Mytilus edulis: one gene and its partner. The protein of the gene in region 2 purifies or fractionates together with the protein of the main gene of each other region. This does not show direct contact. Links are inferred from orthologs where the notes say so. Each region holds a gene or a part of one and is shown on either strand. Other genes may lie near its edges.

Region 1 (7,487 bases), on a different chromosome or scaffold from region 2:
CATGTGCTAGAAATATGGTGAAAGAGTTCCTCCCTCAAATTATTATGAAGTGAGCATTGGATTGAAAAATGACGCTCATCCTCAACTTTATCAGCTGTACAATACAATTTTTTTAGTATCTAGCATTTTCAATTCTTAATGTAATGGAAGAGCACCGATTCTGAATTAAGATATGAACTACCTTTCTTAAAATCAATAATATCTAAACATTTCTTTCTTCTTGAAAACAATCTTCAAAAGAAAAACAAGTGTCAAGTTTCCAACAAAACACATAATGTACTAAGTTTTTAAAATTAGACAATTTGTCAAAGACAAGAGGTACAAGAATGTCACACATTATCTTAGATTTTTTACTAGTTTGTTTTTGGCTTTTATACTGTACTCATTCGATTTGAGCAGTCAAAATGCGTTGACTGTATATTTCTATGACATATACATGTACATTGAATTTCACTGACCCGATATCACTTTTCCTTATAAATATTTAGATAGAAGTTGCCGAAATATTCATGTCCGTCATATTTGTTTTTCGTAATAAGTTTTGTTGTAAATCATCATTCCTGCATCTCCACCAACCATAATAAAAGAGACATATTTTTCTAGATTTCAAAATAAGCTCAGGGTATAAAATCGGTATCCCTACAAATATATTGAGTTTCATCTCCCAGACTATGTCTGATCAATCGCTATTGGAAGTGCTGTGCACTACATTGTATCTCCGTATATCGTGGATTCACATTCCCGAACATGTTACCGTATTCATACATTTAATTGGAATTGCTCATCTTTTCTGAGCACATATTTTGTCCTGTTTGTATTCTTATTTTTACAGATCTGGTTATGTATTTGTCTCTTTGTTTTTCCCATTTTGACTGACAGACTGACTGACGCTACATTAGTCCGTTATTTCTGCTACAAAATTAATTTAAATAAAACTCAGATGCGTTATACAAGGAGAGAAAGTGTTGCAACCAAAGAGGGCGGATAGTGTTATCCAACTCCGATATATTCATTTATGTAGTTAATCAGTCAGGGGACTTACTTAAATGAGTGATTTTCTAAATCACTGATTCAAGTAACATTATTTCCATAAAGGTTGAAAGTAAGAGTTGTCTTTCTTTAATAATCACCTAATTAAGTAGTACAAAATAATCACTAGAAGAAGTGATTTAATTTTACTGTAGCTTTAAATATAGAATACTAATGATCCAGGGACTAATTATGTTTCTAAACTTATCAGAACCAACATCTGTGTTGTCTAGGATGACCAGGTCATTTCAGGTGATGACCTTGTACTGAATCTACATAATGACATAAAAATCACTTGTTTAAGTATCATACCTCAATTTCCTTCCCAAAAATCACTTTTTTAAGTATCATTGTTTTATACAACCCCCACTAATTTCAACACCCCTGAACAGTGAAATTTTTATTGGGAACAGTAGAATTTTATTACATAATCTGAAAGATAAAACCTTGAACTTTACAGGAAAAATACTCCCACTCCTGGGAAAAATCTGTTAAGAAAGTATCAGTTCATTATGTAAAGCCATTATTATAGTATTTTTTCAACTAAAATAGAATTTGCAGCTAAATGAAAGCATCAAAGGCATAAACCTTGATACTTAAAAGAAGGAAAAAATACATATTTTTTTTCAATTTTACTAATGAAAAGATATTTTTTAAACCTATGTGTTTAAAATTTTGGTAAAACTACAAAATCACAATTTGTGACAAAACTTCGAATTTGCTACTCAAACAAGTGATTTAAAAATCACTTATTTCAGTAAGTCCCCTGACTGTTAATAGTGGGGGAAACCTCACTCCCCTGATACATGAAAAGCAGAAACCGAAGATCTAGTTAAAGAAGGTAGACCAAGACGAACATGCAAAAAATAGCGAACTAGAACAGCACAGACGGTTGTGACACACAAACAACGAAATATAAATATAAATAAAGTACCTAGACATGTAAAACGAAAGTGGGACGAGGGTAAGGACTGAGCAGTTGCTATAAGCATGTGTATCAACTCCAATATACTGAGACAAATATCCCGCATGAAAAGAATAATTGTAATCAAGACGGACAACCACACATATCATAGAGAACGGAGTTGGTCTTTTTAGAGAAAATTTACCCATACACATAAGAAAAATGCATTGTCGAAATAATGGGCTTTCAGGGTAATGGGTTGTCGGAATAATAGGCTGTCGGAGTAATGGGCTGTCGGAATAGTGGGCTGTCGGAGTAAAGGGCTGTCGTAATAATGGCTGTCGGACTAATGGGATGTCACCATGTTTATATATGTATGCCTTCTTATAAGTCATTTAAGTATTCTATAACTAAACAAAAACTAAAAATTGCAAATTTTGACAGGAACAATACTTTTTTTTTTTTAAATCAAACTTTTTATGATTAGATCATGTACATTGTAGATTAGTATTTATTTTGAACAGATTGAAAAAAAATATTATTAATCAATTTAATGTTGAATAACCACAAAATCATATTGAATCATATGCATTTTTTTTAAGTGTTTCTTCCTTCTGTAGCTCTTTGCCCAAAATTTATTATATTTTTTTTTTGACAATTTGAGTATTTTAACTAGTTATTTAAGAACTACATGTATGGACTGCAAATTGTCAAAAACAAACCACAAGAGCTCCTGATCAGATCTGCAAATGAACTGAAAAGTGATTGCTATACTTATGCAGGCTATGATGCACAGGCACTTGTTTCTACCCATAGGAAGGTCCACTATCCATAATCGACCTTCCTATGGATAGAAGCAAGGAAACAAGTGCCTGTGTTATATGATGTTGCCAAAAAGATAAAAAAAAATATTTATGCAAACCTTCTAAACAAAAAACCAAATACCGCGTCAAGAAATCCAGAAATATTGCCTTCATTTTGAAGAATTCCAATCAAAAGGTTATCATATTGTTGGTTTTTATCGTCCATCGTAATTCGTCTTATTTTTATTTTTTAACGGACAACACACTAACGGGGAAAGACACCCGTGTATCAACGGTCATTGTTATTGTTCCATATACGTTCCTCCTAAAAGGAGCACTCGTAAGTAACCATGGATCACTTCAAAACCAGTGGCGGATCCAGGGGTGGGGGGGGGGGGGGGGGTTCCGGGGGTGCGCACCCCCCTTTATTTTTGCCGATCAATGCATTTGTATCGGGACATATGTTTTGCACCCCCCTTTGCCCTGGGTGCCCTGGGTTAGCACCCCCCCCCTTTCGAAAATTCCTGCATCCGCCCCTGAAAACATCGACAGTTACTTTATGTACTATGTAATGAGTGACTAGTAAAGATGGATATTTCAGTACTGAAATTATTTAAGGAATGACTGTAATACTTTTTCTGTCTATGAAGAAATAACATAAAAAATTTGGTGAATAACGCGCGTAGCGGGTTATTTAACAGTGTGCTCTACATTTTATTTTATGTTATTTCGAAAACCATGAAAAAACGTTGATGACTTCACGGTTACATGACTAAATTATGTCTATGGGCTGATAAAAAAATAACGTCAGCCAATCAGAAGACGCGTTACATCCAAAATTAAATTATTTGATATTATCAAGACAAGACAAATTATATGATAAGTTTGTTGAATATCATACATTATCTGGAACCTGGATAGGTCATGGACCTCCTTTTCGAGATATTTGCATAGGCGGATCATGCCCCCCCGCCCCCCCCCCCCCCCCCCTTGTGGGAAAAATTTGGTTGATTATATAGGGAATCACTGAAGCATGACTGGAGCCCCCCCCTCTTAGGTCAGTCAGCGGGCCCCCCTTATGAAAAGTTCTGGATCCGCCACTGATTTGAGATTTAGAATATGTCGGGAAAAGGCTGACTCAGACTTTTACCTTATATTTGCATTGGTATTATTTGGGTCTCAAACAAAAGAAAGAAAATCAAGAATCTTTTAAAATTTTGCTAAATGACCTTTCATCAGCTATTTAGTCTTATATGAAAAAATAAGTGAGTGTTATGGGGCAAAATATTTTCCATTGTATTGTAAAGAAAAAAACCCAAGGAGTCCGAACATTTGACACAAATTCCAAAACCTCACCGTATATTCTTAACGTATTCAATACAGTAAAAGAAGATCCAGTTAATTATTAGTCTTTGATTGAAATTTCTATAGAAAGATCTATGATTAATCAGAATTTCCAACTAGTCGAGTGTCACGGGAATATATTGATTTCCATGTGAATTGTCATTTTATTTACTTTAACTCTTTACGGTTTTATATGCGGGGACAACCACGTATTTATCCTGGAAGTATAGGACAGCTGATTGGCACACATGTAATCGGTCTTTAAAGATCGATGTAGCATGGGCATTCATAAATTCATTCAGTTCAAGTACAGTAAAACGGAATGGATGGATACCAACCGTTCTTAGAAAATGTTAGAATGTTGTGTCCTATCCGATGGACTGTCCTGAGGGAGTAGAACTTTTGTATTTTTATAGCCATTTTAATTGTTAGAAAGTTGGGCAAGAGATTAACTGGGAAAGTGGAATAATGAAAGATTGACAATTGAATATGTGGGTGGTTGCAAATAAAAAAAATGCCTGTGCAAGTGTTTTGCCGAATGTGTTCGTGAATGAGTGAGAGACAGTGTTAATGGGAGAGTGAGAGAGGCAGAATGTCGGTGTATGAGATAATCTGGCCTTGCAGTAGAGCTATTATGAATAGTTGCAATTGATGAATTGGGTGAGTGAATAATCAGTAGGTTAGATAAATAGAACAATGAGACATAGAATTGCAAGGGATGTGCTGAGACTACTATAATCTATAATAGTAGTCTCAGGTGTGTGGGAAGTGGGAAAAATTAAAATCACCAAAATACTGCGTTCAGAGGAAAATTCAAAACGCAAAGTCCTTTAATAATCAAATAGCAAAATCAAAAGCTCAAACCCATCAAACGATTGTCAACAATTGTCATATTCCTGACTCAGTAAAACTACCATGATAATTTGACTTCAAATATTTCAAGACCTCTACATTTCGATTTCATGGTGTTCTTCAATACAAAAATTTTGTAAATTCAGGCCTCATAACAAATGGAACGATGGTAGTGACTGTCTTTATAGAAGAGTGCTAATCCCAGTTACAGATCACTTTAGCCGTATTTGGCACAACTTTTTGGAATTTTTGATCCTCAATGCTCTTCAACTTTGTACTTGTTTGGCTTTATAAATATTTTGATATGAGCGTCACTGATGAGTCTTATGTAGACGAAACGCGCGTCTGGCGTACTAAATTATAATCCTGGTACCTTTGATAACCAATTAAATAACATAGAATTTTGTGGACACCATCAGCTGGTTGACAATTTGGTAACATGACAACTTATTGTTCCAATAGTCGAAAATACAGCTATGTCCTCTTTTATTTCGATTGTGACATTTATATATTTTGCTGACTTACTACACGAGCAACACGATGGGTTCCACATGTGGACCGGTCCTAATAATCTGATGCCGGATAATCACCCTCGGTTTTTGGTAAGGATTCGTGCTGCTCAGGCGCAAGTTTTCTTTTTAATGTTTTTCGACTTGTTTGTTTTAAATGTCCCATTTCTTCATTCCTTTTCCTGCGCTTTTAGACCTTGGATGTTCACGAGAAATTTTAGATGTAAATTGAGGAATTCAGATTTTGTGAGTTTTAGAAACTAGATACCAGTATATAGTCGTTTTGTAATTTTCCGGTTATGACATTTTGACAGTGTATACATACGTGCATGGTGGGCGATGCATGCATAGCAGGAGGTGTTTACCCTGTTCACTGACACGGTCTTGATCAGTTATATTCTTAGTATATCGGATTCCCCCTTTTTGTGTTTTACCTTAATTTGCCTCTTCTTGATCGATTTAGGATATTTAAACATCGATAAACTACCGTAACTGTTGCTTTAATTTAAAGCCCTTGAAAATATGCTTTGTTACAATTTTATATTTATAAGCATTGTAATTTTCATTGTAAATAATAAATGCTATAGCAGTATTACACACCATATCTTACATACTTTTGATTTTTTAACCCTATATGCTAACATTGCCTATGTAAATCTTAAAATTATTTGCATGCACATTGAACGAAATATTTATGTGACGTATAAAATTTTCTGACGTCAGACACTCAAATCAATGAATGTGTTTGTAGATAGCTGTTTTTGTTTTGTGGCAGTTGGGATTATTATGTTATTATTATTTCCCTTTTTTAAAACTATAAATTTCATATTTCTTTATTTAAGGATTTACATGAAGCTTATTCAGTACATATTTGTTAAATCGCATAGCTTTTGCTATTTGAATTCATTGGTTAAAGATATTTATTTGTATTGTAAAGTTTGATATTTGCATCGTTGCAAAATCTTTGGTTACCTTCTGTGAGAAATTTATATATAAATATATTTTATATAACTGGTATTTGATTATTGTGTCGAATATTCTGAGGACTGATTGTCAGTCCAACCAAGGAAAGCTAAACTTTCCAACTACCGTTAAGGTTAGTGCGTTAGCTACATACCTCCACAGCCCGGGTAATATGAAATAATTGAATGCTCCATTTCTTCATACATTTGGCTCTACATAATAAAAGTTGTACTTTGTTGATTAAATTATATATTGTTTTCACTGTTTTTGGTTTTTATTTACTCAGATATACTTTAGCGCATTACATTTGGCATCAGTCGTTTCCGTACAATTAAATTCACAAACCAGACCAAGCTGTGGTCCGCATCCCCGAATCTTCAGCAGAATTGTTCCTGCTACAGTTTTCTGTTAAATAGTTCCTTTAAAATTGTTATACGATGATGACTGATAGTGGAATTAACTATTTGTGGATTTTTATAAATTCTATACATAACTTTTGGACTATTTTCAATCTCGGTCTATTTCTGATATTTATTCTTAAAAACTTTTGTTTTTTAACCCTATATGCTAACATTGCCTATGTAAATTTTAAAATTTTGTTTGAAAATTGTTTGCATGCACATTGAACGACAAATTTATGTGACGTATAAAATTTTCTGACGTCAGACACACAAATCAATGAATGTGTTTGTAGATAGAAGTTTTTGTGTTCTGTTAAATTGTCCATTTTAAAATTGTTATACGATGATGACTGATGTACCCATATTTTAACTATTTATTTATTGTGTCTGTTTAATAGTTAGCGCATCAATGTAAATATAACGAAATTTGATGAGACTGTCATCAAAGTGAAAGGGTTAGCACTATAATCCACAATTTTCTACATTTGAAAATGCCTGTACCAAGTCAGGTATATGACAGTTCTTGTCCATTCGTTTTTTATGCGTTTTGTTATTTGAAATTGCCATGTGATTATGGACTTTCCAAATTAATTTTCCTCTAGGTTCAGTATTTTTGTGATTTTACTTTTTGAATTCTATCCTAATTCTATCCCTTTTATTTTTTAGAAATTCAAATGTGACG
Region 2 (7,498 bases):
CCTAGGGCGAACATGTAATCAGGGCGAACGATCCCGATACCACCATGGTATAAGGAAAAAGATGTCATCCTTATTATACCTCAACACAGTTATTTCTATTAGTTTATTTGACACTTCAGTCATGTAGTATTTTAATGTATGGTTGAAAACACTGCATTTTGCACTAAGGAAATTTGTAATTTTGGAAAGTACTTATTTTATGTCATTGTGCATGATGTGTTTAAGTACAGAAACACTGAGTAACAATCATGACAATATTTAAGACATATATTTATATTACATATATATATTTTTTTGAAACTCACAAACTGTATAGCATGTGACTAAAATTTCTGACGCTTGTCATCTTTTTATTTTTGTTAATGTTGTAGGGTCACAGAACCACTAATTTTGCCCCAGTTGGTAATAACATGCAAGAAAGTGGTACATATTTTTTAACAAAATACAAAAGTCATGTAGTTCCTATGCATAGCTGTATCTTTGTCAATAGGTTAACTATTCAAGTAGTTTTTGGTATCAAAAGAAGTAATGCCTATTTTTTGGGACTTGAAAAGCAAAGGCAAATTAAGAAATCGATAAATAAGTTATTAGATGAAAAAAAACATCTTTAATTTTGGACCCTGATTTGGACCAACTTGAAAACTGGGTCCATAATCAAAAATCTAAATACATGTTTAGATTCAACATCAAGGAACCCCAAAAATTCAATTTTTTGTTAAACTAAGTGTCTTCAGAAGACGCGGCCAACGATAACATGATACCAATATAAGACCTAGTCTCATGGGTATTAGAGCTGTTAAAATGCATAGTGGCGTCACACTTTCCATTGAAAAAGCATGTATACTGTTACATGTAGTACGAAGCCATATGACATCAAAAGCGTAGGATCTGACCATACATGTATCATCGTCTCATGGGTTTTCGTTATATTAAGAGTGCCTTATGACATCACCATTTCCATTGAAAAAGCATGCATGGTACGAAAATATATGCCGTGTGAAAACATATGATCTGACCATATATCATGTACAAAAAATGTATATTCAATAAATTTAGTATGGGTGCCAATTAACCAGGTGCAAATTTGACTTTACCAGTCCTGATTTGACTAAAATTCAGGCTGACTAACGGTATTTATATGACTTATATGTTCCTAAATGCCATCTATAGTACTTTAGCATGTTTAACTGACATGACTCAAGAAGACTCTAGATAGTATATACAGTCTAGTCACCTAATTTCGTGGATACACAAGTTCGTGGACTTCCGGAAATCCTAAATATCTCGCATGCGTGTTATTGTTATGACGTCATCAATGGCATGATTTGATTGCTATAGGATATCCCTACAACAACAACTTACAAAAATGAATCGCGACGTTTCAAGCAAGGTAAGACTTATTACTTATTTATTTAATAAACAAAATGGCTGATTTTACTTATTTCTTTATTTGTCTTATTTCCAACGACCTCAATAACTTTATTCCCAAGCTATAATCCCAAATCCACGTGTTGTTTGATTACGCTACTTTCTAATGAACAATATCACATGATAAACAAGGAGATTCCCTGTCAGCCAAAAAAATCTATGGAACGCAATCAGTGTCATATTCTTATATGTTTTAGATGAATTTTAACAATAAAAGATGACTTTTGGTTAATCAAATGAACTTCAAAAAGGAGTTATTTAGCACAATTCTTGTAAATTAAGTTCAACTAACGTCGATAACTGAGTTTTAAAAAGGATTTGTATAAACAGTTTTAACTAATGGTGTATTTATTTGTTTTGTTTGAAAAAAAAATAGAAGATTTTTGTATCACAAAATAATTAATTTTCATTTTTTATTATTTACAGGTTCAACTTAAATGGCAGAAAAATAAGCAGAAAGAAACTGAAAATAGCAATTATGATATATACATTTGTAAATTATTGGACTGCTTTCAGTTTTATTTATATTTACCATTTACTATTGACAGTTCTGTATTAACAGTTGGACTACTTTTGAGTAGTGAACATTTGCTTGATTTTAATAAATGTGAACTTTATCTTCTGGGGGGGAAATAATCATGATTCCAAAGGGAAAAAATGACTAAACTGTAGCCTAAGATTATTTTTTTTATATAATTAATGGGAAGTAAAATAACTTTTAAATCTGTTACTTATAATTATTTTAATAATATTTAAAAAGTTGAAAAAAAAATCATTTGGTGTTTCAATTTTTTTATTTTTTTTAAAGATTTTCAGGCTCAATAAAATAAAATAAAATACTTTGTCTTTAAACAATGTTTTATTTAGTTTCACTGATCTGAAAATGTACAAAAATATGCTTGTATGAAATTACAATTATATGCTCACCACTGGGCTTCCATACTGTGTGTTCTTCTTGTGTTATTTTTAGAACGAACTTTTCCCACGAAAATAGGTGACGTACTTGGCATCATATGCCGATTTGTGTACACTAGAAATGTAGGTCATATAAAAAAAACTAGCTAACGGTAAGAATCAAACTAACTTGTATTATTTTAATGAAGTTCTAAGGTAACATTATGGACATATAAAACAAATTGTTGTTTTTTAGTTTTACCGCATTCCGTGTGAATAGTCTTATATCCACGAATATAGGTCACTACCGTACTATAGTGAAGTGACTATACATGCATGAGGAGTTGTTAAAAGACGACTCAAACCCAATTATTCCTGTGTGTTCTGTAAATAGCAGACAAATGCTTAGTTATTCTCAGGAATGTTGGGGAGATTCAGATACAAATTTATACAAAATAGTACCGAAAATAGTGACTTGCTGCAGCAAGAACATTCTTTTGGACAGGTATTTTTGAACCATTTAAAACAACAGTGCCATCACAAAAGCGTAGTAGCCTTCTATTTTCATTTAAAGCTGTTAAAATTTTCTTTGCATGACGGTCAGTTGAAAAGCTTTGTGGAGTTGTCGTCGAAGTTCCAGCTTCGACATCCATCTCTCAGCTGTTACAGTACAAAGCTGGTTTCATAATATTAGAGACGATTGACTTTCTTCGACAATCCGCTTTTAATCAACCGAAAACCAGTTTTAGGTTTTTCTACAGTAAAGTGATGATCCTCTTATTTTACGATTTTTTTTCATTTTTTTTTTTACATTTTAGATTTTAAGGTAGTTCAGGGGTATAGAAAAACAATGACAGAATTTTCTTATACTTGTGGCAGTTAGGATTATTATGTTAGTATTATTTCCCTTGTTTAAAACTATAAATTTCATATTCTCAGATCCGGACATCCTGGCATTAAAATTTTTCAAGGGGTGATGCAGATAGGATTCCTCTAGATTTTTCATCTATTTGAAGGTGATAACTGATTATTTATATTGTTGATTATTTTTTAACCAGAGGATATAGTATGATAAAAATCAAAATGGAGATATTATATAGTGTCTTTAAAAACATTAAGTGGGTAAAATTACTAGATTCAACTGGTGTCAATATATATCAATTAAATTAATTTGCATTGAAGTCTATGGAAAATCAAGAGGATTCTTATCTGCATCACCTCTCAACATTGTTTATATAACACAAATTCTAATCATTGATTGGTCAGTTACATGTTGTGATGTCACTGCAGATCTGAGAATTTCCTTATTTAATGATTTACATGAAGCTTATTCAGTATATCAAGGATTTGTATAGTAAGTTACTATACAAATCCTTGAGTATATCTATAATACTAAAATTACGAGGTCCAATTTGTCAGACGTCATCGGGTAAAAACGACAAATCAAAGAATTCAACTCTATATAGAACTAATATAGGACAATGGTGTAGATTAAAAATTACACCACTCCAGACCCTTTTGTTTTCCACATAATTAATATTGCCAATAATTAACAAGTTCCGGGTCGAATCCGATACCAATAGTATATTCACCTGTTGGCTATTACCTTATCTGTACGTTCCGCATTTGACAGGCGCACCACCAAACGGTGTATTTAGGATTTTGTTATATACACGGGTCATAATCAAAAGGCTGACACTACTAAATTCAATCATTGTCAAATTGTTCTCTATTGTAGTTTTATTCAGCAATCAGCAAGACTTTCTAAGATAACTAACGCGATATCACGGGTGTGTACTTGTATTTGTTAAATTGCAAAGATTTTGGTATTTGAATTAATTGGTTATGCGGGGTTCACACATTGCCGATTATTGCTCCCGTTTGAGATCAGACAGCGATACGGCACGAAAAGTGAAAAAGTCGGATTAGTATCCTCAATTATCTGGAATGTCCTATTATTGTCTGAACGCAGTCGTTTTAGTTCGTAACAGATTCCTACTGGTCGGGAAGGGTCCGAATAGTTCGGCAAAGCACCCCGACAGTTAGGTGCGTCCCGTAACATTCGGGGAAACTCAGCCGATTTTGTCTAGTCAGATTACAATCGTGCCTATGTCGTGACAGATTCTGCTGTATCGGATCGAATTCCTAACAATGTTCTGTGTATTCCGGACGGTGTCCTGTGGAACGGGAATGATCTGGAGAAGTCCCGACAATAACAGAATACAATACGACTGAGACCAGACAAAGCCGTTTGCAATGCGATAGAGCGGACCGTGATAGGATTACGTTCCGACAGTACCTGATCATCCCGATTATGCCGACAGTTTTCGAACGGATAACTCCCGTAAGCGTCGGTTCACTGTCTTGTCACTATCTGATCTCTGTCGGATTACATTCGGTAGAATCGGGACGCAGTCGTGACAGACTCGGTCGAATTTTACCTGGCGAAAGATACAAATCGAATGTCCATCCACGATTCACAGGATCTTGATCAGACTTTTGACAAATTTTAATCGGGAATGGTCCTGTCAAGGACGGCAGTAAAAATCGTGAATGTGTGACCCCAGCTTAAAAGATATTTATTTATATTGTAAAGTTTAATATTTGCATCGTCGCAAAACCTTTGATTACCTTCTGCGAAAGACTTATATATTTTAGATAATTGATTTGAAATTATTATGTTGAATCCTCTGAGGACTGACATTCAGTCCAACCAAGGAAAGCCAGGCTTTCCAACCAAGTATCCATTAGGTTAGTGCATTTGCTACATGCCTCCTTAGTATGGTAATTTGAAATCATATTGAATGCTCCATTTCTACACTTTTGGCTTTACATAATAAAAGTTGTACTTTGTTAATTAAATTATATATTGTTTTCAGTTTTTGGTTTCATTTACTTACATTGTAGATATATCATAGTGCATCACTTTTGACATCAGGCGTTTTCCGCACACATCAGTTTACAAACTAGAATTAGCTGTGGTCCGCATCCCCGAATCTTAGGCAGAATTGTTCCTGCTACATACTTTTTGCCAAAATGAAGATTTTATTATGTTTTTTTTCTCAAATAAATGATAAAAAGTACGGGTTCCCACGCTTTCTTTAAAATAAAATATGAGAAGATAGCTTTTATAATATATTTTAAGAAAATAAAATAAAAAATGGTGTCACAAAACTTGTTTTCTTGCTATAAGTAAAACATAAAATTTCCCTATATGTCCAGTGTAAATTTTGTACTTTTAAAAATAGTTATCTCCCCTTAAATGGAGTTATTTGAAAAATGAATTCTAAAACCACAAATATTTGGTATTTGTTTAAATATTTTCTAAAATGTTTTGAATTACTAAGTTTTCTTTACATAAATAAACAGTTTAACCAATACATTGCAAATCTGTCTCCAAATTTGCAGATTTCGGCAAAGAACTAGAACTATTGTTTCTGTGATTGTACCGTGAATTCAAGATGGCGGTAGACCCCTGGTACTCGCTTCGGCAGTACATATACTAATACCGACCGTGCAAGGGCTGTTTAGCCAGTCAATGTCGTTAAAAACTTCCATTTGTTTGTTCTGTCTAAATACCGACCGTGCAAGGGCTGTATATATGTCACTGAAGCTATATATTAGAGTACATGGTGTAATGGTTAGCACTCTGGACTCTGAATCCAGCGATCCGAGTTCAGATCTCGGTGGAACCTCCAAATCAATATAATCAACCAAATTTTTTTCCAGGAAAGGGGGGCGGGTCCCCTCTAGATCCGCCTCTGCACCACGTTACACGTACATTTTTCAATGAGTTTAGTTTAAAAATACAATATTTCATCCTGTTTTACTCTTAATTTGTCCTCTTGTCGCTTCTTGCTATTTTGTATATACGAATATCACATTTCCGGTGACGTTTCTCCACATGCAATTGTTTTCGTTGCAAGAAACGTCAGAAGAAAGAAAAGGTTGCCGTAAGAGTGACATGTAATCTACACTTCAGTATTATAAACTTCTTGGACCCGACGTGACTTGAACCTTTTAGTTTAGAGTTTAACAGTTAAAGCAAATCGAAGACAAGACACGTTTATGTAAACCTAGGTGATTATCAATTGCATAAGGATTATCTGGGCTGTATATGCACGCCTGGTCATGTTCTATAAAATTACATATCATCTCATTGCAATCACAAAAACATACAGATTAATTCAACCGCTCAGACAGTCCAGGAACATGCACACACTCTCATACCAAATTCCATCCTGCAGAACACAAATAAGACAACAATCATTTTTCCCACGCACAATTAAAATCTGGAACAGCCTTCCCCTGAGTATTGTTATGAGCGACTCTATAGAGTCGTTCAAAGTAGCCGTCTCAAACTACACCTACAGCCCATAAATTCATCATGTGTAAATAGTTTTATCTTAATATTTTAAAAATAATAAATTAAAAATATGCACTACCACTATGTAAAAATTTTTTGTTTTGTTTATTATCACAAATTTGTATATTTCACTGTATATATGTCTTCACAAAGCAATGCGCAGTACAAGTGACGTAAACTTCAACGTGTTGAAGGCGGTCATTACATAGTAGAAGTAGAAGTAGAAGAAGTATATCTTTGTTTTGATTCCATGTGAAAGCTCAGATAAATGACAGATCATGTTCAGTTCAGTTTCTTGTATATTCCTCCATTAATTGTGGAGCACTACCCAAAGGGTATAGTTTTAGCAACTATGTACACCTTAAAACATAAGGAAACAAATAATTATATACAGATGACTGAATTTGGTTATAATAATCACTAAATGATAAATATCATAATTAATTCAATGGATTGTCATCATAAAGTTTTAAAAGATATATAATAATTCATATGTGCTGGGTTGTAAGAAAATTTTAAGAGACAACTGCATATATTTACAAATAAGAATTAAAATGGTCTCAAATTAAAATTACTTATAATTATTAGTTAAGAGTGCTATAAATACATCAGGAACTATAATGAAAATTATATTTTATAAGACTTATGTAAAATGGTAGGGGTTTGGAAAAATTTGAGCTAATATATATACATAAATTTTCTTCACAGTTTATTTTACTATATGGGGATCTTGTCATTATTCTTTAAATTATAACTGATATCTTACAATTTTAAAAAGAGAAGATTTATTTTAAATACATGTACTTATAA

Evidence for each region.
Region 1: the proteins of gigaxonin-like (region 2) and nudC domain-containing protein 3-like purify together in Homo sapiens (co-immunoprecipitation; 3 studies listed by BioGRID and IntAct, counting the BioPlex papers as one, with this or other methods). This does not show direct contact. The link is inferred for Mytilus edulis from reciprocal best matches to the Homo sapiens genes GAN and NUDCD3.

Annotation. Positions count from the first base shown.
Region 1 is NC_092352.1:85,868,170-85,875,656, forward strand, and holds the start of nudC domain-containing protein 3-like, read right to left. Parts: upstream 3,056-7,487; 5' UTR 2,963-3,055; coding exon 2,856-2,962; intron 1-2,855.
Region 2 is NC_092348.1:15,388,149-15,395,646, reverse strand, and holds the start of gigaxonin-like, read right to left. Parts: upstream 3,064-7,498; 5' UTR 2,976-3,063; coding exon 2,785-2,975; intron 1-2,784. UniProt on the Homo sapiens protein: Probable cytoskeletal component that directly or indirectly plays an important role in neurofilament architecture.